Linked DNA regions of Caenorhabditis elegans. The protein of the gene in region 4 interacts with the protein of the main gene of each other region in a pairwise test. Each region holds a gene or a part of one and is shown on either strand. Other genes may lie near its edges.

Region 1 (7,359 bases), 5.4 Mb from region 4:
AGTTTTGTTCAAATTCCGCCATTTTTTTCGAAATTTAAAACTCAATACTTCAATTTTAGTACAATTTTACAAGGCTGCAACGCTAAATTTTTTTCAAAAATGCTAATTTAGCGCTGAAGCCCTATAAAATTGTATTAAAAGTGAAATATTGAGTTTTAAATTTCAAAAAAAAAAAAATGGCGGAATTTAACAAAACTAAAAAAAAACTTTAAAAAATTTTTGACCAAAATTTCAGAAAAATCTTTTTTTTTTTGGATTTTTTATTCAAATTTTTTCGGTAAAAATTTTGTGGAAAATTTCAGGGTTTTTTTGCCTTTTTTTAAAGGCAATTTTTCTCCAGAAAATCCTAAATTCAGAAAACCCATGAAAAAACTGCTTAAATTTGAAATTTTGGAGTTTTTGTTCAAAAAAAAAAAGATGCAAAAAGTCTTTTTTTAAAATTAATTTTTTCACTTTTTTTTTTGATTTTTAAGCAATAATGAGAAAAAGGTAGATAAAAAAGGCCAAAAAACCTTGAAAATTTCACAAAATTTTAACAGAAAGAAAAAGAAAAATTAGTCTTAATAGAGCTCCTAAAAATGCGGAGAATAAACAAAAAAAACTGGGACAAAAAAACAATTCAACAATAATAATAAAAAACTCGAAAGAACAATCAAAAATTGGGTAAAATTTGAGACCGAAGCAAACATTAAAACAGGATGATGGATTCAATTCCTTAATAAAGATGTTCGGTGTTGGAGGTGCGTGGAACCTTGATCTTCTCATAGTTCTTCATAATCATATCGTGAAGTGTGGAGAAGTGATTGCGCATCTCGAGAACCACCAATCTGAAACACACAGAAATTCAATAAATTTTCGGAAACTTTACAAATATAAAAAAAAAATTCCCTCCAAAATGAGAACTGCACACGACCAATTAGCGATTCGCTCCGCCCACTTTTAAACCAATCAGATGGAGTGGGCGGAGCTCGGAGTTGCTGATTGGTCGGGGAGATTTCATATTGGAGGGAATTCGAAAAATCGTGTTTTTATTGGTTTTTTTCAAATAATTTTTTTTGAGTTCTGGTTTTCTTTTATTTAAAGATTTTTTGGGTTTTAAATAGAATTATAATATTTTTAATTTTTTTTTTTTCGTTTTTAAAACTATTTTCGGTTTTTTATATTCAGAAAAATTGCAAAAAATAAATATTAAAAATCTAACTTTTAAAACGCGATTTTTCAATTTTGGCTAAATTCCCTCCAAAATGAGAACTCCCCGACCAATCAGCGACGTGGAACTCCGCCCACTCCATCTGATTGGTTAGATAAATGTGGGCGGAGCGAATCGCTGATTGGTCGGGAAGTTCTCATTTTGGAGGGAATTTAGCCAAAACTGAAAAATCGCGTTTCTAAAAGTTAGATTTTTAATTTTAGCAAAAACAACGAAAAAAGTAGCGAAAAATGTGTCTTCGCTTTTTTTTTTTTTGGTTTTCTTTTGTGAAATTTCTAAAATTGAAATTTTTTCTTTCAAAAAAATGTTTTCGCTAATTTTCGCTCCAACCTAATGTTTATGAAATGGTTTTTATTTTATTTTGAAAAAATTTAAAAAAAACAACAATTTTTAAAGGTTTTTTTGGGATTTTTTAGACAAAAAAAAAAGGCAACCTTTTAACAAAAATTAGCATAAATAATTAGTAAATTAGCCTTTTAGCAAAAAGGCAAGAAACCTTGAAAAAATGTGTTTTCTTCTTTCTTTTTGTGAAATTTTTAAAAATTCGATATTTTATGCTAATTTTCGCTCCAGCCTAATATTTATGAGATGATTTGTATTTTTAAAATTAAAAAAAAACAATTTTTTTTAAGGTTTTTTTTTTTGGATTTTTTAGACCAAAAAACGGCAAAAAAAGTGTTTTACTTTTCAAAAAAATCCGTTTTTCGACTTTTTCTTTGAAAATTTTTAAAGTGAGATTTTTTCTTCAAAAATTCAATTTTTCGCTATTTCGCTCCAACCTAATATTATTGAACTGTTTTGAACATTTTTTGCAATTTTTCGGGTTTTTTTTTGGATTTTTAGGCTAAAAAGGTTTTAAAAATAGCTCAAAAAAGGAAAAACCTTTGAAAAAATCCGCTTTTTTTCTTTTTGTTGCAATTTTTAAAATTTTTATAGATTTTTTAGACCAAAAAAAGGAAAAAAACCTAGAAAAAATCGGTTTTTTTTTGAAAATTCCGAAATTTAAACTTTTTTTCATTAAAAAATTCAATTTTTCGCTAATTTCTGCTGCTCCAACCTAATATTAATGAACTGTTTCTCGTCCATATCAAGAATAGCACGTCTATAATCATCCACATGTGGATATTTAGCAATCTTCGTGATAAGCTTTCCACGAGTCGTAAAATATCGGCTCATTTGATCCAAAAACGAGGCGGCCTCGCTTTCGACATTCCGAACTTCGGACAGTGTCTCCTCTTGGATTCCGACGCCGAAATTATTGCCGTCTTCGATGCGTGGAATGAGCAAAGTGATCCACATTTTCACGTTGTTACACTGCTCGACAGCGTCACGAAGCTTCGGGCGAACCAGATCCATGAGTTGGGCGAGATTCTCGTTGCATGGGACAGTGCCGCTGCTGAACGCGAAGATCGGGGCTCCTTTGGGCTTCTCGTCGACTCGCTGACGCTTTACCGCTGGCTCATCGCTGTCCGTGGTGCCGTTCTGCAAAAATTTGGTTTTTTTTTCGCGTTGAAAAAAAAATTACAGAGAAAATTTCTTTAAATTTTGATATTTTCACTGCAACTTTTTCCTCACGAGGGACGAGGAAAAGTGGTTTCTAGGCCATGGCCGAGGGGCCGACAAGTTTCAGCGGCCATTTATCTTGCTTTGTTTTCCGCCTGTTTTCTTTCGTTTTTCACAGCTTTTTCACGTTTTTTCTTATTAAAACTGATAAATAAATACTTTTTGCAGATGCTAAAACAATTTCCAAGTAAAAAAATTATGTATTCAGTGGGCAAGCAGCGGTGAAAGTGGGCATTGTAATATGATGGATTACGGGAATACAAAACCTAAACTTTTTCTGAAACATGATACATATGCTGCTTAAATGCTGAAACTACCCGATTTTCATAACGAGACCGCTGAAAAAGTTTTGAGGTTTTCAAAATTCAAATTTTTGTGCGAAAATCTCGACTTTTTCACCAAAAAAGTTGAATTTGGAAACCTCAAAACTTTTTCAGCGGTCTCGTTATGAAAATCAGGTAATTTCAGCATCTAAGCATCATATGTATCATGTTTCAGAAAAAGTTTAGGTTTTGTATTCCCGTAATCCATCATATTGCATTGACCACTTTCACCGCTGCTTGCCCACTGAATACATAATTTTTTTACTTGGAAATTGTTTTAGCATTTGCAAAAAGTATTTATTTATCAGTTTTAATAAGAAAAAACGGGAAAAATCGATGAAAAACGAAAGAAAACAGGCGGAAAACAAAGCAAGATAAATGGCCGCTGAAACTTGTCGGCCCCTCGGCCATGGCCTAGAAACCACTTTTCCTCGTCCCTCGTGAGGAAAAAGTTGCAGTGATTTTAATGGAAATTGGTGAATTTTTCCATTTTTGAGATTTTTTTAAACTTTTTTTTTCGCAAAAAACCGATTTCTGTGAAATTTTCATGTTTTTTAAAGGTTTTTTAACGCTTTTTTTGCTGAATTAAACTGAAACTGGCTCGAAAAATGTCAAAAAAAAAAACTATTTTTTTGGTTCTTTTCTCTGAAATTACCGAAATTTTATTTAAATGTTCATACTTTCCTGTAAATTGGTAAATTTTTGCTTTTTTGAGATATTTTTTTTGCAAAAAAAAAAGACGATTTCTGTGAAATTTTCGAATTTTTCCGGCTTTTTTTGCTGAAATATACTGAAACTGGCTCCAAACGATTAAAAAAGGTGTTTCGTTTTTCTTTCTGAAATTACCGAAATTTTATTATTTTTTCCTGTAAATTGGCAAATTTTTTATTTTTTAACATTTTTTTGCAAGTTTTTTAGGCTTTTTAACGCTTTTTTTTGCTGAAATAAACTGAAACTGGCTCCAAAAATTGTAAAAATACTATTTTTTAAAAATGTTTTCCCCTTTTTTTGGAAATTGGCAAATTTTTGCTTTTTTTGATAGGATTTTTGGAATAAAAAGGCGATTTCTGTGAAATTTTCGAATTTTTACGGCTTTTTTTGCTGAAATATACTGAAACTGGCTCCAAACATTTTAAAAAGACTATTTTTTGGTTTTTAATTTTGAAATAACCGGAATTTTCTTTAAATTTTGATTTTTTCCTGTAAATTGGCAAATTTTTTATTTTTTTACATTATTTTTTGCAAGTTTTTACGCTTTTTTTGCTGAAATGGACTGAAACTGGCTCCAAAAATTAAAAATAAAACTTTTTTTTTGGTTTTTTTCTCTGAAATTACCGGAATTTTCATTAAATTTTGATTTGTTCCAGTAAATTGGTAAATCTTTGCTTTTTTTTTTGAGATTTTTTTCGCAAAAAAGGCGATTTCTCTGAAAGTTTAAAGTTTTTTTTTAATATGTTTTTTTGCTGAAATAGACTAAAACTTGCGCCAAACGCCCAGAATTTCAGATAAAAAGAGCCAAATATCGCTAAAATCCGAAATTTTCACAAAATTTTCTTGTCGAAGCAGCTGCAGCCATGGAATCCAGCTAAATTTCGCTAAAATCTCTCAGAAATTACCGAAATTGGTTGCCTATCGACGTAAAATATGCAATAAAGGGTTATAATTTAATGAAAACTAAAAATCTCAGAAAAAATTCGAAAAATGTGCAGAATTTTGCAAAAATTCGAAATTTCCGATTAAAAATTGGGTTTATTGAAATTTATTCAAGAAACCCTATTTTTTAATTAGAAATTTCAAATTTTAGCAAAATTCTGCACATTTTTCGAATTTTTTCTGAGATTTTTAGTTTTCATTAAATTATAACCCTTTATTGCATATTTTAGGCGGATATGAACCAAATTTTAGTCGTTTCTGTGAGATTCCAGCAAAATTCAGCTGTATTCCATGATACAACATAAAAATTTATTCGAAAATTCGATTTTCAGCAAAAATTGGTTTTTTTCCCGAAATCCGGATCGTTTTTGGCGAGTTTTAGTCTTTTTCAGCGAAAAAATAACTCGAAAAACTTGAAATTTTCACACGGAAATCGCCTTTTTGGCAAAAAAATTAGGGCCGTTAAAAAAAATGTTTAGAGCCAGTTTCAGTCAATTTCAGCAAAAAAAGCGTTAAAGAAGCCTAAAAAACTTGAAAATTTCACAGAAATCTGATTTTTTTTGTGCAAAAATCTTTAAAAAAAAGCAAAAATTTGCAAATTTACAGGAAAAAATCAAAATTTAAATAAAATTTCGGTATTTTCAACGCAAAAAAAGTATTTTTTTAATGTTTGGAGCCAGTTTCAGTCAATTTCAGCAAAAAAGCGTTAAAAAACTTGAAAATTTCACACGGAAATCGCTATTTTTTGAGAAAAAACTATTTTTTTTTTCGATATTTTTCCCCTCCGTACCAACGCATCCGGAATCGGAATATTCAACGATTTATCGGGAAGAATCTCGGCGAGACGATCGTACGAGAGCTTTGGGCTCTTGAGCAACGCGTCGAACTCGATAACTTTCTTCGGAAATTCCTCTTTGACGAGCCTCTCGGCTTCGGCAAAGAGCTTCTGCTTGTACTCGACGAGCTCCTTGTTCTCCGGCATACTTTGCTTCTTGACCATCGTGCTGGAAAATTTCCAGTGGAAATGTGGATTAAGCAGAAAATAAACGGAAAATTGTGGGGGAAAAATCGATAATTCGCTGGTTGGAAACCAAGAAATAGCTTTTTAAAAAATGAAAAAAAAACACACAATAAATTGGAAAAATGGCATTTTTTCTGGCAAATTGGTGAAAAAATCGAGATAAATTACTATTTACAACCGGAAAAGTGTGATAATTCACAGAAAACATTGAAAAAATACACGAAAAATCAAGTTTTCCGCTTCAAAATATTGATAATAGTCTCGTGGCACGGCCGCTGATCCATATCGTTGGCGCCGAGCACATATTTCCCATCGGAAGCTTTGAAATAGTCGAGCCCGCGGCCACTTTTCACCACCCAACCGTTGTCGAATCTGGAAAATAATTTAAAAAATGCATTAAAATCGTTTTTTAACTCAAATTAACGAAATTAGTTATCAAAAATTGGCTAAAAATGGCCAAGTGACTAAAAATTGGCCGAAATTGGGCAGAAAATGACTAAAAATTGGCCAAAAATGACTGAAATTAGTCAAAAATGATCGAAACTGGCTAAAAATGACCGAAATTGACCAAAAATAAGCCAAAAATGACCGAAATTGTGCAACAATAGCTAAAAATTGATTGAAAATTAACGAAATGGGCCAAAAATTACCAAAATTTGGCAGAAAATAACTAAAAATTGGCGAAAAATAACTAAAATTTGCTGAAAATTACCGAAATTGACCAGAAATAAGCCAAAACTGACTAAAAATTAGCCAAAACTGACTAAAAATTGGCCAAAAATGACTAAAAATTGGCCAAAAATGATTAAAAATTGACTGCAAATTACCGAAATTGGCCAAAAAAAAGCCGAAATGAGCGAAATTGGACAAAAATGATTAAAAATTGGCTAAAAATGACTACAAATTGACTGAAAATTACCGAAATTGACCAAAAAAAGCCAAAATCTACTAAAAAAAATGACAAAAAATAAGCCAAAAATGACCGAAATTGGCCAAAAATGATCAAAATTTCTGTCATTTTCATTCGTTTTGGCGAATTTTCGGACATTTCTGGCCATTTTCCAATATTTTGTGGCAATTTCGGTCATTTTGGCCATTCCTTTGGTTCTTTTTGACCATTGCTAGTCTATTTTTAGCGATTTCCGGTCAACTTCGGGAATTTGTGACTAATTTTATTAATTTTTTGGTTATTTTTGGCAAATTTCGGGCATTTCTGGCCGTTTTTAATCTTTTTTGGCCAAATTTCGGTCATTTTCCGGCTTTATATAGATATTTTGGACATTTTTGGCCACTTTTTTCGAAATATTTAGAGATAAACTACCAAAATATGCAATAAAGATTGGATAATCAAATAAAAGTGAACTTCGGACCGCTGCCACGCAGAAAAGTGGTCGAAACCGGAGATTTTAACGAAAATCCGGCCATTTATCGAATTTTTCAAGAGGTTTGAGCACATTTCGGGGGGATAAATTAATTCAAATCTGTACATAATTTCCCGATCATGAATTGTCGTGCTGAACTCGACGTTGAACATCACTCCGCGCTTCGCAAGGCTTCTGAAATCACAAAATTTTCTAATTTTCCCGGCG
Region 2 (3,060 bases), 1.1 Mb from region 4:
GTTCTGATAAAAATTGAATGTTTCTAGTTTTTAAAAGTTTTAAAAAATACTATTTTATTATTTTCGAGATGATTCGAGAAGACTTTAGTATGTACTACAAGTTTCATTTGCATATAATACTACATTTTGTTAGTACATCACTTTTTCTGTGTTTACACAATTGAATTTGTTCCAAGAATCCATCAAGTGAAATCACGTGTGTTCCTTTTAAACTACAGTAATCCTTGTAGTAAATTTGAAATTCATTATTTAGATTTAAAAACATTTTCAGAGTGTATACACAATTCAAATAAAGTGAAAGCAACAAAGATTTTAATATCCCAACTAGTTTAAAAGTGGAAAAAATGTTTTAATTTAACAAATTTATTGCGACAGATTTCAGATTTATAATTTCTTTTGTTTTACTTTATTTTTTACATTGAAATAATTCATTTTTGTATGATAAAAATTTACAGGCAATTATGAAATTTTCAGTTCATTTTTCCAAACACGAATGACCAATTTTTCTTGTCAAATGATGCATTGTGTCGTCAAAAAAGTAAAATTTTTTATTTTTGAACCCGATAAATATCAAAATATATGCGCAGAATTGAGTTTGAGAGATAATTGAAAAGGGCAAGTTTGAATGTGAACGGAACAAATGAGATTGAGTTAATGAAGACTGACAGGAGGAAGATCGGCTCTTGCAACAAGCATATGAAGTACTTTTGATTGTTTGATAAACTTCACAGCTCGATCATGAGTCATCATTGTGAAATCTGCTCCATTGACCTGAAAATAGAGAATATTATTTAGTTGGGGTGTCCGTTTGTTAGAGGATGTTCTCAATATCATCTAGAAAAATTTTGAGGAGTTTTCAATTTTTTGGAAACTTATGTTAAGCTAATGTTCGAACGTTCTTGAGTTTGTCTACCAAAAATTTTTTAATTGGCCAAATGTTTAATTCACTTCAGTTTAATTCACGCAAATTTATGTTGAATGAGAAAATATTGCCTAAGAAGAGTACTGTAATTTCAAATTCTCATTTCTGCTGAATTTTCATCGATTTTGCATGGTTTTTTGATGAAAGTATATTTATTTATTTGAAATATAACAACACAAAAATTTCCAAAAACTCATGAGAAAAACTATGCAAGATCGATGAAAATTCGGCAGTAAGTTTACAGTACTCTTAATTAACAATGTATATGTTGGCAAGAAAGTTTGATCATTTGTCTCTGGGAAAAGAAAACTTAAAAATTTCATAATTACCTGCAGAATCTTATCATGCTTTCTCAATCCAGCCACATCCGCCGGCGATCCTGATTCGACGTTTGTGATATAAACTCCAGAATCCGGATATTTGAATGGCGCTTTTGTTGGATCTTGATCAATTCCTCCACCAATTTTAAATCCAACTCGAATTGTGACTTGTCCATGAGCATCAATAACTTCTTGTTTGTGCAATTCAACAGCAATTGACAAACATTCAATTGCTTCTCCTGGCATATGACCATATGCTGTCATTGTATTATTTTTTTTTGATCTGAAAATTGGAAAGTATTTAAAAGTGAAATTGAAAAGAAAATGAGGTTTTTTGTTCAAAAACTAATGTTTAAATGTGTCGGAACACGGACAAAGATGAAACGCACACATACAACATGAGGTGTGACTCATTGTCTTCAACCCCCTCTGGTCTCCATTTTTCTTACACTATCTCATCTTCCTACTCTCATGGCCGAATTTGCATACATTTTTACTCAATTCCGTTCGGATTGTCATTGAGATGGCGACCTTGTACAAGTGTTGCCGATAAGAGAATAATTGAATTGGTGGCCGTGGAAGAGAAATTGAAAAAATAAGACCAAACATCGCTTTTTGCGGCCATGGAAAGTTGGTTTTACTTGTATTGAATAATCTTTTTCCCTCAATTTTTTATTTAACGTTTCCAAATCTTGCAGTCTTGCATGTTTCTATTTGCAGGCATATTTTTAAAGATATTATAATAATTAATAATGAATTATTTCAATGTAAAACAATATAGTCAAGAAAAAAGAATATCTAAAAATCTAAAATCAGTAGCGGAAAAGAAGTTTTTTAATGCTAGGTACTGTAGATTTTCCAATTTCCACAATATATGTTTGAGAAATCGATTTATTTTCAAAAACCATTTTTGTTCAAATTAAAACATTTTTCCCACTTTTAAACCATGTTTAACTCCAAAATCTTCTTTATTTTCACTTTATTTTAAATGTGAATTCACTTTGAAAATGTTGTTCAATCTAATAATATTCAAATTCACTTCGCCGATTACTGTGGTTTTAAAGGAGTGCATTCAAATTATTGATTGAGGTCTCGCAGCGAGCTGGGTATGGTGAAATTTTTTATTGATTTTTAGACACTTCTCTTGCGCAAAACTCTTAAATTTTTAGTTAATCGTTGACTCTCATTTCTTTTGCTAAATATAATGATAAATTATCTAATAAATTTTCAATTTTCAGCATAAAAATGACCCAAGAACCGTCAGACACCAGTGATTATCAACGATTTGATGAAATGCTTCTTCATTTGGAGCCAAGAGGGGCAAGAGTTCCTTATAACGTTGTTTACGACCAAGACAACAATATATGGGTATATTATAATTAAACAACAACAATTAAAAATTATTCATTTTTCAGGTAGCTTCAAAAGGCGGTTTATATAAATTCAACGGAAAAACTCTCCGAACTCTGCACGAAGACAAGAAATTCTTCAAGAAAATGGCCCCATTTCCACAAGTAATTTCGTACAAAGACAGGGTACAATAAATTATTTTCACTTAAGTTATTAATTATTCAAATTTACAGATAATCTACACATCAGCTGAATTCTCTGATCGAACGACAATTTTAAGAGTAATTTCACTTGATGGAGATGTTGTTCATGAGTCGTTTATCGAAGGATTATGTAAGTTTTTCTGGTATAAAACATTTTTTAAAATATATTTTTTTTTAGTAAATTCCATGACAATCACTGATAGTGGCGATATGTATATTGTGAAGCAAGCTGAACCAGGACATCGAAACAATTTTATCATGACGT
Region 3 (4,804 bases), on a different chromosome or scaffold from region 4:
TATCTTTGAAAAAACATATTTTGGTATGACAAATGTTTTTAAATTCAGTTTTGTTGTCGTTTTTCTTTGATAGGACTTCCATGTCGGCGTCGAAACGCCTGCCTGGCTTAATTAAGGCGACCTCTGCCTTCCTCATTTATTTTTTAAATTTGATTTTCATCGAATTGAAATTCGAAGATAAGAAATTTGAAAATTCACGCCAGAATACAGAAAATAGGCGAGTGGCTGGTAGGTTTCAAGCAGGCGCCAGGTCTTGAAAACCGCAACAGAAAAACTGTAAACCCCTACCGTAAACGTTAGATCCGATAATTCCGCTCCATTTTCCAATAATATTTTACATGCATCTCGTTCAGCCCAATGTGCAGCCGCATGCAACGGAGTCCATCCTTCGACATCCTGTGCCCGTACATTTCCACCCGCTTTGATAAGTAATTCGAGTAATTGTGTGTATCCTCGCCCAGCAGCTACATGCATTGCAGTTCCACCTGTTCTGTGGTGAGGAATATCTCGATATTCTCCCTGACTCATCCACATATTCACATCTTTCAACATTGTCTGAAGTTCTTGATCTCTACAAGCATCGAGATCAATCATTTGTCGCTTGTAATCATCGTCAAGATAATCACGACATTGTTCATCTACTGCAAGATCAAGTGCTAACTCTTTATCACTATTAACTATTGAGAGATCGGCTCCATGTTGACACAAATATCTGACTATTGCCACATTTCCACAACATGCAGCTGCGTGAAGAGGTGTCCATCCTTCATTATCTTGTGCATTCACATCGGCTCCTTTTTCACAAAGAAATCGAACCATTTCGGGTTTTGAATCAATTACCGACTGAAAATATTCAATTTCGAATGTTTTGTTTATGCAATATTTCAATTTTTCAATGTTCTATCCATATGCAAAACGTTGCGATTTGTTTCAAAAGTACGGTCTCGAAGCACCAAATTTAAAATATTGTGCGCCTTAAAGGAGTACTGTAGCTGTTTTTAAAGAACTTTTTTTTTACGAAAAATGTGTTTTTTAAGGATTCAAAAAGAATTTTTTTAAAATTTATTTTTGAACTTTTATTTCCAGAAAAAGTTAAGGTTGTTTTCTAAAATAAATTCCAAATTAAATTCGTTTTGTTTTTATCAATTTCATTTTTTTTTGTAATTTCGTTGCTCCAGCCCTGCTCTCTGTTGTTGCAGGATTTTCCTCGATGTTTCATACGTTTTCAAACGTTTGTTTAACTTTTATTGAAAAACATGTGCAATTTTGAAGAAACTGTAGAAAAACTACAGTACTCCTTTAGGTTCACCTCGAGACCGGGTATCGTATTTTTTTAAACAAAATTCACGAAACTTCACATATGGACGATACAAGTACCAAATTGTCAATAATAAATGCAAATCTCACCTGATGCAATGCGGTCAACCCGTCAACTGTACAAGTATTAATATTGGCACCCTTGTTCAACAGTTCTTCAACTTCTTCTTCATCTCCAGACATACATGCCGACAGAAAAATATCACTGTCTTGAAATTGTACTTTTGGACGTTTCGTTCGCCGAGCTGCTTCTGCGTTCATCTCGCTGCTCTGCCAACGGCGCAATTGATCCTGAAAATTTAAAAATTACAAATAAATGGTTTTTTTTGTTTAAAAAATATTAAATTTATTGAATGTTTAAACTTCGAACCCTCGGCGTAAAAAAGAGTAAAAGTTGGCACACGCCGAGAGAGCTCACAAATTGTGTTTGCACCTGTTTGCACAATTGATTAACAAGTATAAACGACTGGATTTCGGTCGTGATTGTCGTTTTTTTTTTGTTCACTAAATACCTACTGGTTTGTAATTTTTTTTAGAAATTAATTTTTGAATGATCAAGAGAAAAAGTTTCAAAGCAAATGGAAAAAAATAAAACGAATAATCGTCCGATTAGAATGAGTCAAAACTTGACACTGATAAGAAAAAAGTTCAACCGGAAGCCTGTGGAAACTATCAAAAAAAGATCAAAAAACGTTCTCTTTTGGTGGTTTTTTTTCCGGAGAAGAGACGAAAGAGACGTCGTCGTCGTCGCCGTCGTCGTGTCCCTGTGCCCGCTGACTCACTTTTATTGTCAATGTGTTTGTATGGAAAATGGCAGGAAAAATGGAGAACGGGGGTGGAGGAGGAAACATGGAAAATGAAGGAAGAACGACGGTTCAGACAAAAAATCATAGAGAGCAAGGTGTTTTCAGAAACTTTCTCTAGAATAATTTTAAATTTCTCAAATTTTTAATTCGAAAAAAAAAACTACAAAAAAACTGAACAAGCTTCAAACTGGAAAATTAAGCAGATGAAATTTTTTAAAGATTTTCACGTCAAAAAACGGGTCCCCGGTCTCGAAACGATTCATTTATGTTTAATGCAAAAAGGCTTGCGCCTTTAAAGAGTACTGTAATTTCAACCTACTATTGTTGTGAAATTCCATGATTTTTTTAACGTTTTTCGTTTTTGAAAATATATTAATTTACTGAACAAAAAAAGACAACTATGAAAACTATGGAAAAAAAAATGAAAATTCCTTTTTGAAAGTTACAGTAACCTTTAAAGGTGCATAACTTTTCGCATTTAACAGAAATCTTTCGTGTCGAGACCGGGTACCGTACTTTTGGCGCAAAAACCGAAGAAAGTCGGCCAAAAATTTGATATTTAAAGTTCGAAGATCACTTTTAACAAAAATGAAATTTCAAACTGATTTTTAATTTATAATGTTGAAATTTAAATATAAATTTAGACAATTTCTTCAATTTAAACGAAGAAAATTTTAGTTTTATTTTACTATTTTAATTTGTGATAAACGAGGTTTTTACCAAATTTTTTTTCGCAAAAATTACAGATTTATTTTTTTGTTGAATTTTGTTTTCAAACTTTTGAAAAAAGCTCACCTTTCTCTTATTCACAACATTAAAAGTGATTTGCTGCTTTGCTTGCAGCATATGCGCATCGTCCTCGTCATCTTGACCCATTCTGCAAAATATGAAATTTTTTTAGTAAAAAATGTTGTTGTTTGAGATAGGTTCAATCAGAAAAGCAAAGAACGATGAGAAAAGTGATACAAATGACGTTCGTTTCATTGATACAATAATGGGTAGAAATTCCAAAAAATATATAAAGTATTTTGTAAAAATATTATGGTTTTGGAAACGAGAAAAAATAGATCAAACGATGAAGCTTGGGAAAAATGACTCGTATTCACACACAGACACCCACAAGAAATGACCAGTTTAGCGTGTGACTGAAACCGGAGACTTATTCCGCGTATTCGACCACCTCCAAGTCAATTACTCTTCATATCCCACCACCACTACTTTAACGTTCACTCATTTCCCGGTTCATCCTTCTTTTGAAATATGAGACCACAACTATTCGATTAATCTTTTGACTAAAGTTTCATAGCTTTTGCGTATAAATCTTGGAATGTGAATACCCGAATTTTCGAAATCTGCCGGTTTTTCGGTTTTCCGAAATACCAAAAAATCAAAAAATTTACGGGTTTTTCTAAAAAAAAAAATCTAAAAAATGCAACGTTCTTGTTAAATAAAAAACCAAAAATCGAAAAATCGAATACCGTATATAATTATAAAACACTTATAAATGGTTCTAAATTTTTTTTAATTTTGCAACAAAAATGTGCAATTTGAATTTTTTGGCAAAACTGAAAAAAAAAATTTCAAACTTCAAATTTATAAATAATTTAAAACCATTTTTAAATATATATATTCGTTCATTAGGACCAATTTTCAATAATTTTAAGCAAACTATCCATGGACTCCGCCATTAAAAATATATCCTTAAGGATATATAAATATAATACTAATCAATACAACTCCCACTCATCCATTGAAAAGTGCGGCAAGTGGGTGAAAATAGTGAGGCAGTGAAGATCAGAAAAGGCTTAGAGAATTAGATAAAGTGATGTGATAAAGGTGGTTTTGGATTGTGGATACACCGGAGAACAAATATTATGAAATTGGGCACTATTTCCGGTGCAATTTGTTTTCTAAAAATATTGGTGTAAAATATCTATGTTCAAAAATTTTATAAAATGAAATATTTAGAGTTTCCAAAGTTTCTAAAAAAAGTTTGCGGTGAGTCATTGAAGACTAACTAAACAAATTTGGAAAAATAATTGAAAAAGGCAAGGCATTTCTGTAAAAAACGCTTAAAATTTTTGAAAATTGCCAATCAATGTTTATATTTCAAAAGAAATGTTATATTTTTGGAAAGAAACATTTCTTTTTTTTTTGCAATCAATGTTAATATAAAACATTGGCTATGGCATTTAAATTAAAAATTCATTGTTTAAAAAATCTAGGTTCAATGTTCAGAAAATGAGAAATTAAAAAACAATTTTCGAGTAACGGACACATTGAACTAATTCCAGAGAAAAAATGGAACAGTGCCCCCGGGATTAGGGGCGACAAGTCGATGGATAGGTCGTTCTCTCTCTCTCTATTTTCAACGATATAGACAGAAAGAGAGAATTAGTGATTCGAGACGCAGATACACCATCATCCAAGAGAAAGAGACCGGGAGGGACGTACTTGAAACTTTCCGCCTGCACGCGGCGTGTCTGCGTCTATTAAACACCGCTCAATATATTTCGACTCTCTCGCTCTGTTCTCTTTTCCCGCATCATTATACACACAGCGGCAGTTGGCTGGTTGCCCTCTCTTCCCATCATCCTTCTCCCGATCCTCCTCTCACCGTTCTCTTATTCATCATCATCCTTAACCTGTTGTGCTGCTTGGTGGTCGTGGTGATGGTTAGC
Region 4 (7,197 bases):
ATCTAAACAAGTTTTTGGCATTTATACTCCCTTTAAACCGTGCGCATAATCATTTTTCTGTTTCTTTCTTTAAAATTTCCTTATTCATCTTTGTTTCCCTGCCAAAGCTGATTCCGTTCTCGTTCTTTTTTTTTAATTACTTGTCAATATGCTTCAAAGTACGTCGGTTTAAATAAACTTCAGGTTGTAAAACTCACATTTCCATTCCCAGCATCATCAAGCAAAAATGGAATGTTATATTTGGTTCCAACTACCAATGGGAACTTTTCCACTGTAGTTCCAGATGAGATGAATCTGAAAGAAGTAATGCATCACATTTGACACTCAAAATTCTTCAGTACTCCCGAACTTACCGATATTCTCCGTCAGTTTCTGACAGAACCTTGTAGTTTGGCTCTCCTGTTTTCAGGGTTCCATACACGAAAACCTTGAATTTTTCGCCCATTTTTGCTGGAAATGAATTAATAAATTACAGATTTTTTCATTATTTTAAGTTAATAAAAAAACATTTAAAAAAAATCTGTATTCATCAATCATTCGATATGTATATTTACACAATATGCCTTTCGGAAAAAAGAAGAAAAATACGCGTTTTTGTCTTGCCACGAAAGATTATTGATTGAAAAATGGCAAAAGGGTGTGGAAAAATCAATAAACTGAATGAGCACAAAATGGGGTTATCTCTTATCGGGATGGGGAAAAACTGAAGAAAAAAAAGGAAAATCGGTTCATAAATGGCCATAAAGTTTCTTATCACATTCCATCAAAAGCTTGTGCTCGTTGTCGTGGAGTTCCTCGCATACTCTGAAATTATAAGAAAATTATAATTGGAAAATGAGAAGAATAATCAATCAATACCACACTAATGTTCATTTCAAAATTTGAAAAATCACAACAAAATACACCGACGGACAGGTTTGTGAAATTCAAAGATATAGTTTCACTAAAAAATGTGTGATTTTTTGAATCAATTAATAAAATTAATAAAGTCTTAGCGCGAGCGAAACTTTTCAGATACCGTACCCTGGGTTTTGCTTTTTCTTGTTTCTTTCTATTTTTAAAAATTTTTCGAGTTTTTGTTGTGAAAATCTTATTTTCCCTGAATAGGTTTACTACAAAAACATAAAAACTCAAGAAAAAGAATTTCCAAATAAACGATGGAACGTCTACTATTGGATACTGTAGCGGAAAAAATAATCTCGTGTCAGTACCCGACGTAACGATTGCGCTCTAAGAAATATTTTTCGCGCTGCGTTCATTGTTGCGATTCCTGATTTTTAAATTTTAAGTCAAAAAAAAACAATTACAGTGTGCATATTATTGAATTTATTCATAGAGCGCTTGAACCATGAATGTTTATTTTCAACTCTAACAAAAATACCAATCAACAAGTGTTAGAAAACAATAATTGGAAAATTAGTCAATATGCAAACACGCTCTACCACACAACAATCAAACTCTGGCACTATTTTCTCACTATATTCAAATGTCAGCTTCCTGCCATTCAGTGTTTCCCAAATCATAAGACTGCTGTCTATGCAGCATCATGACGTGGCTCAGAATACTTGACGAGCTCGTAGTGGATACTGTAGAGACACGTGGAATCCCTCGTCCCGCCACATGTCTAGCGACAGTATTGAGCTCCAAGGAATCGGAGGAACCCGATGAGCCAATTGAGCTTGCGCTTTTTGATTTTTTCTGGAGATATTCCGAAGTTAAGCGTCAAACTTACAAATGCCAAACGCGCGAAATTTTAATAAATTAGAAGCTTAACATATAATAGAATAGGATGAAAAAGAGATTTAATAACTTTTTGAACTTTTGACCTTCTGATCATGAGATCAGCTTAGTAACCGTTCAGAACGGTAGCATGCTAACAGAACTTGCTAAATTATCTACTTACCATTCTCATCGTCGTGAACTTATCAAAACCGTGTGCCACATTTTGTGCATGAACCGCATCATGCTCTCGATGCTGCCCATTTTGTACATTACCGTCTCGTTTCAGGCCGTCAATATCGCCACGTAATTCTTCCAGGTGCTCCTTGAAGATTCGCGCTCGTGTTTCGTATTCTGACCTGAAAAAATTTCTAATGTCACATACTATTCTCTATTAGGATTGTACCTCCATTGCTCAACTCTGCTAGCATATAATTCAGTTATCCTTTTTTTTTAATTACCAAACTAACCTTGATTTTTCCAACTCCATCAGAGTAGTCTGTTGCTCGAAAATCTGACTAATTGAAGGATCGGGTGGTGGAATAATCATACCAGATCCTCCGTAATATGGCGGTTGATTCTGATTTTGAACTTGAGTTTGTTGTTGATGAGCTTGAGTATTTTGAGACATTTGTTGTGGTTGTTGATGAGAAAGTGGTTGATTTGAAGGAATTGGGGAGGAAAATGCAGATGATGGCATATTCAGACTTCGAGACATCATTTGTTGAGGATGAGTGTGTGCTGAAAATGTTGTTTCCGTATAAATATAATCATATTTTTCTTATTTCTTATTTCTAACAAGACGTGGATTGGTCAAAAACAGTAGCAACTTGGCTTGCGATTTCATTCCCAAATTGGCATTACAAACAATAAATTAGTTTACAACTAGACACATTCTCATTTGAAGATCTTGAATTTATAATATCATTACCAAAATATTTTTTAGTGTTCTCTTTTTTGAGGCAACTTTGCAAATACCTGGCTGTGAGAAAATGTTGAAGTTACATAATCAAAAAAAAATTCGATAAACTGATTAGGGGGTCGGTTTTTATTATGTGATCTAGACTTTTTTGACTCGGCAAACTTTTATTCTTAACTTTTAAACATAGTTTTACGCCCATTGCCAAAATTATCATGCAAAAGTTGCTATAGATATTATACTTCTATACTATTTTGGAATAGACTTTTTTATTGTGCCTTTAAAAAAACTAACTGTCAAGTGATTGCAGTTGATGAAATGATCCTGTTGATGGCATACCAGGATGACCTGATTGATGACCAGATACTTGTTGATGCCAATTCTGAAAGTTTCTAAACCGTATTAATCGAGTATATCCTCTATCAATCCCATTACGGTTTTGTCAAGATTTACTCAAAATGGGAAGATTTTCCATTAACTTACCGGATCAATAATCAACGCAGACTGACTCGAATACTGTGTCATTTTCCGATTCGCGTCAAGGCTTACATCTGCTAGTGACATTGACATCTGCTTTGCCAAAATCTCAGCTTCCCGAGCTTTTCGTTCCATTCTCAACAGAGCTTCTTCGGACTGAAAATTAAACTTTAATTTCATAATTAATTTGATTTTTTACCTTCATATTATTCATACTTAATCGATTACATTCAGCTTCAACTTCACTTTTTTGCTTGTACAACATCAAAGTTTCATGTTCACTGTGTCGTGCCTTCTCTGCTAATTGATCATTCGCTTCTTCTGCCTTTCGTATATTTTCTTGAGCTTTCATTAATTCCAAAGTCATCACTTCAACTTTTTGTTTCATTTCCTTATATTCTTTTTCCATTTGCTGCCTCTCTTTTCGTTCCAATGCAACTTTTGCTTGTTCTGCTGCTCGACGTTGCTTGTCTTCTTTTGCTTGTGATCTCATTTGTTGAACCTGAAATATACAGTTATCATTTCGTAGAAAACTGAATAGAAATTTTCAAGTTGCCCTACTATAAAAGACACATACCTCTAACGTGTCTGGCTGCCTCCTCCTTAAATACAAATTGTGTGTTCCAATGCAAAGATCCAATATTGAAGAATCAATTGATGTCTCTCGTGATCGAAATGATATTGTGGATTTGTCGACGGTTTTCATGTGAAACTGAACGTACAATGGAAATCGTGAAAAGAAAATTTTAAAAAAATTACCTTTCGATTCTTAAATTGAATATTCTTAATCTCACTCCAACTAAAAAACGGCCGAGGTGTTATTCGATTCACTCCCTTATAGATTCCCAACCCTTGAGCGGATATACCAAGATGTAAGTCAGTTTCTTTGTTATTCTGAAAATAAATAAAATTATGTATCTCAAATTCAAATGTCCACAACCGTTCAAACAGAATCTCTCAAATAACTTACACAAATAGGATAATATAATATTCCATACATCTCCAAATCCTGTGCAACTCTCAAATACTCAAGTTCAGCTTCTTCTCTTGATTGTCCTGCATTCCGTGACCACCATCGTTTTATTCGATCTCTCCACATATCAGCACTCATATCATATTGATCAATCACACTTTTTGGTAAATGCTTGTCAAGATCAATTGGACCAACTTCTTCTGTACAGTCGCCATGCTGAAAATTAATTCGTTTTTACTAGATTTTGAATAAAGTGTATATAGATAGTTTTTCAGAAACATTTTCAGGCACTTGAAAATGTTTTGCCAATTTTTCTGGAAGAAAATGGGATTTTCAAATACTCTTCAAATATCCTTTCTGAAAATTTTAGATTTTCAAAATTTTACAGCAAAAGTTTTGGTAAATTTCGATATTGTAATTCTCAATTTTTCAGAAATATATTAAAAATTTTATGAGTGATTTTAAACACTTTCTCAACTGACGATCTTTTAAAAGTTCAATAAAGGAATTTAAATGGCATTTTCATATTTTGTAAAACCCAGTTAAAATACAAAAATCTTACCATTGCTTGAACTGCAAAACTGGCCAATAAAACACTTGCTTCAGGTGAACAATATAGATTCATTGAAAGTATTGCTTCTCGTATTTGTAAAAAGAACAAATGTCTAGTGGCATCTAGAATAATCTCAGGTTCCACGTCTTCTGGATAGAATTTGACAAGAAATAAGAAATTAAAAGTTCCATCAGATGTGTCTTTTTGGATGTCTTGGCCACAGATCTGGAAAATTTCAAAAATTAATTATTTTCAGAGAAATTATTTTTCCCAAAATATTTTAATTTGATAATTAGAATTTGGTTTTATTGTTGGAAATACCGTATCCCCAAAAATGTATTCAACAAAAACTCACAGTTTTATCATTCTGTAACCAACATGGAATATTCTTTTTATTTGTGAACTGTAGTCCAAAATACCAAGTTTCCCGTAATCCAATAATTCGACAAACTGCTTCAAATAAATGTCTTCCTGTCCATGTTTTCTCAATTACAATCTTCTCCAAATCAGCATCCATTGTGCTCACTTTTGCGTAAATGGGCTTCGTGTTTCGCGAAAATATCGAAAATCCACCCATTGCTATTTTTTGGAATTTTTGTAGGTGAAATTAGCCTGGAAGTTTAAGAAAAAAATAATACTAGCAACTATTATTCATTTCTGAAAAAAGACCGTTGTCTGCACATGAACGTATTGCACGTATTTTCTTTCCGTCAAGTAAGAACAACATCCAAAAATTCAGATACTAAAATTGCTTTTTTAGTTTCTTTGAAAATAAAAATTTCAGATAGTTTCAGTTTGAGGCAATTAGAAAATAACGTGGATTCCAATATTTCCGTTTAAAACTTCGGAAAGTTAGAAAAGTTCTATAGTCTCCGAAGTACTGAATTGGTTTCTCTAGGGTGAAAAATCAATAATGAGATGAAGCCCATCTTAAAAAAAGTATGTTAAATAGTTAAGAAAAGTGAAGAAAATCAATGTAAGTACGCCCCAGGGCAAATAGTGTTGTAACTGTATAGGTATCTGCGTCGAGGAACTCTATGCCAACTGTCTGTCTCACAAGAAGTGTTAGAACATATGAGAGGAAGGAGAGGCATTGGAACTAACAACAAGAGAAGATGATTGGAAGAGAGGACGAAACAATATTTCAACACTCATAATGATGATAGGTATGGAATCCCAGGTGCATTCATTGAAGAATAACTGATAAAAATATTGAAGAACAATGATTCAATGCCCCCAACTGATATGACGCATTGTGAAAATATGTGGCCTGGTCTCGTGTGAACAAGAATTTTCAGTTTTTCGATAAATAAAATAATGTCAACACGCCCTTTCCTCCTCCATCGTTTTTCTCCAAATGGTTTCGATACAAAAGTTACATCGACTGACGAGATTCAAAAAGATTCGCAGTCAGCAGGATTCGAACCTACGCGGACAGAGCCCATTTGATTTCGAGTCAAACTCCTTAACCACTCGGACATTCTTAACCACTCGGACATGACTGCACGTTTTGGTTTATTATCAAGTATATTTTCATTTTGTACAATTTCGAAGTTACAACGAAAAAAATGTGCGAAAAAATTGAAAAAAATTTAACGCAGTCAGCAGGATTCGAACCTACGCGGGCAGAGCCCAATTGATTTCTAGTCAATCTCCTTAACCACTCGGACATGACTGCACGACGAACCACAACTTTCGTGGCCTAGACATGCCGGGTGTTACGCATAATAGGAGGAGGGGATGGGGAGAAGTGGTCAATGGGGGGAGATGAAAGGGGGAATAGGGACAGTATAGAAAAATTCACACAATCGGTATTTTTCGATTGACTTATTATTATATTTTCAAAAGAGACATCAGTGTGAAGTGGGGCGCACTTGTGTAAGCAAAATGGCCAACAAAAATTCGAAAACTTCAGTAACTTTTCGATTAACCTCCCTATTCCTTTGAAGTCATATAATTTTCGAATGAAGTTTAAGTACATTTTTTCCATATTGAAAATTCAAAAATTCCAGAAAGATGAAATCCAGAAAAATGTTTCGAAAGTACAGTGTACTGATAGTGAGCTACAGTACAATTTTCGTAAGTACGCTCGATGGAACCTACTTTCCCTTAAATTTACAGTAACGCATTAAAGTTCTGCAAAGTTTCATAACCAATCTGCCAAAAAACTTCCTCATAACATAATTTGTTGTTTCCCATCTTTCCACTTTGCTCTTCGTACTCTGTGCCTGCTCCCACTGTCTGGCTCCCAACACTTCCTGCCGGGAGCCTCGGGAAATCCCTTCTTCCCTCTCTCTCTCTCTATCCTTCTCTCCCAGAGCTCCGAAAAAATAGGCGGAGCCAGAGCACACACTTATGCTCTCGCTCTCTGTGCAAGAGCCACCTCACTCAATTTTTGTGCTACTTCGAGAGTGTCGATGCCTCATTTGTTAATTGTTTGTTATTTGATGATGATAATGAATTGTTGTATCGATATTTAATTGCACTCTGCGTGGGTGTTATCACTTAAATATTAGAGTTTTTCTGGAAAAAAGGAGTAAACTTAAGAATTTTGGA

What was found.
Region 1: the proteins of nfm-1 (region 4) and psme-3 interact in a two-hybrid assay, tested with the Caenorhabditis elegans proteins (one large-scale study listed by BioGRID).
Region 2: the proteins of nfm-1 (region 4) and txbp-3 interact in a two-hybrid assay, tested with the Caenorhabditis elegans proteins (one large-scale study listed by BioGRID).
Region 3: the proteins of nfm-1 (region 4) and mel-11 interact in a two-hybrid assay, tested with the Caenorhabditis elegans proteins (one large-scale study listed by BioGRID).

Annotation. Positions count from the first base shown.
Region 1 is NC_003281.10:11,566,531-11,573,889, reverse strand, and holds psme-3 (Proteasome activator complex subunit 3), read right to left. Parts: upstream 5,754-7,359; 5' UTR 5,750-5,753; coding exon 5,540-5,749; intron 2,693-5,539; coding exon 2,268-2,692; intron 828-2,267; coding exon 716-827; 3' UTR 547-715; downstream 1-546. Other genes in the region: Y66D12A.10 (MITD1 C-terminal phospholipase D-like domain-containing protein), read right to left, coding at 5,998-6,142, 7,258-7,326.
Region 2 is NC_003281.10:5,045,637-5,048,696, forward strand, and holds txbp-3 (Tax1-binding protein 3 homolog), read right to left. Parts: upstream 1,526-3,060; 5' UTR 1,507-1,525; coding exon 1,252-1,506; intron 772-1,251; coding exon 652-771; 3' UTR 540-651; downstream 1-539. Other genes in the region: C45G9.14 (uncharacterized protein), read left to right, coding at 1-17; vtip-1 (Vha Twelve Interacting Protein), read left to right, coding at 2,488-2,610, 2,658-2,777, 2,826-2,925, 2,974-3,058. UniProt on the Caenorhabditis elegans protein: May regulate a number of protein-protein interactions by competing for PDZ domain binding sites.
Region 3 is NC_003280.10:9,356,729-9,361,532, reverse strand, and holds the start of mel-11 (cGMP-dependent protein kinase interacting domain-containing protein), read right to left. Parts: upstream 3,003-4,804; 5' UTR 3,000-3,002; coding exon 2,919-2,999; intron 1,609-2,918; coding exon 1,408-1,608; intron 844-1,407; coding exon 289-843; intron 1-288.
Region 4 is NC_003281.10:6,157,900-6,165,096, reverse strand, and holds nfm-1 (FERM domain-containing protein), read right to left. Parts: upstream 5,609-7,197; 5' UTR 5,219-5,608; coding exon 4,997-5,218; intron 4,867-4,996; coding exon 4,651-4,866; intron 4,305-4,650; coding exon 4,086-4,304; intron 4,010-4,085; coding exon 3,875-4,009; intron 3,828-3,874; coding exon 3,693-3,827; intron 3,618-3,692; coding exon 3,315-3,617; intron 3,272-3,314; coding exon 3,122-3,271; intron 3,021-3,121; coding exon 2,933-3,020; intron 2,461-2,932; coding exon 2,190-2,460; intron 2,079-2,189; coding exon 1,904-2,078; coding exon of another isoform or gene 1,892-1,903; exon of another isoform or gene 1,699-1,891; coding exon 1,483-1,698; 3' UTR 1,478-1,482; exon of another isoform or gene 1,471-1,477; intron 805-1,470; coding exon of another isoform or gene 754-804; 3' UTR 512-753; downstream 1-511. Other genes in the region: F42A10.9 (Gamma-glutamylcyclotransferase family protein), read right to left, coding at 198-294, 354-445.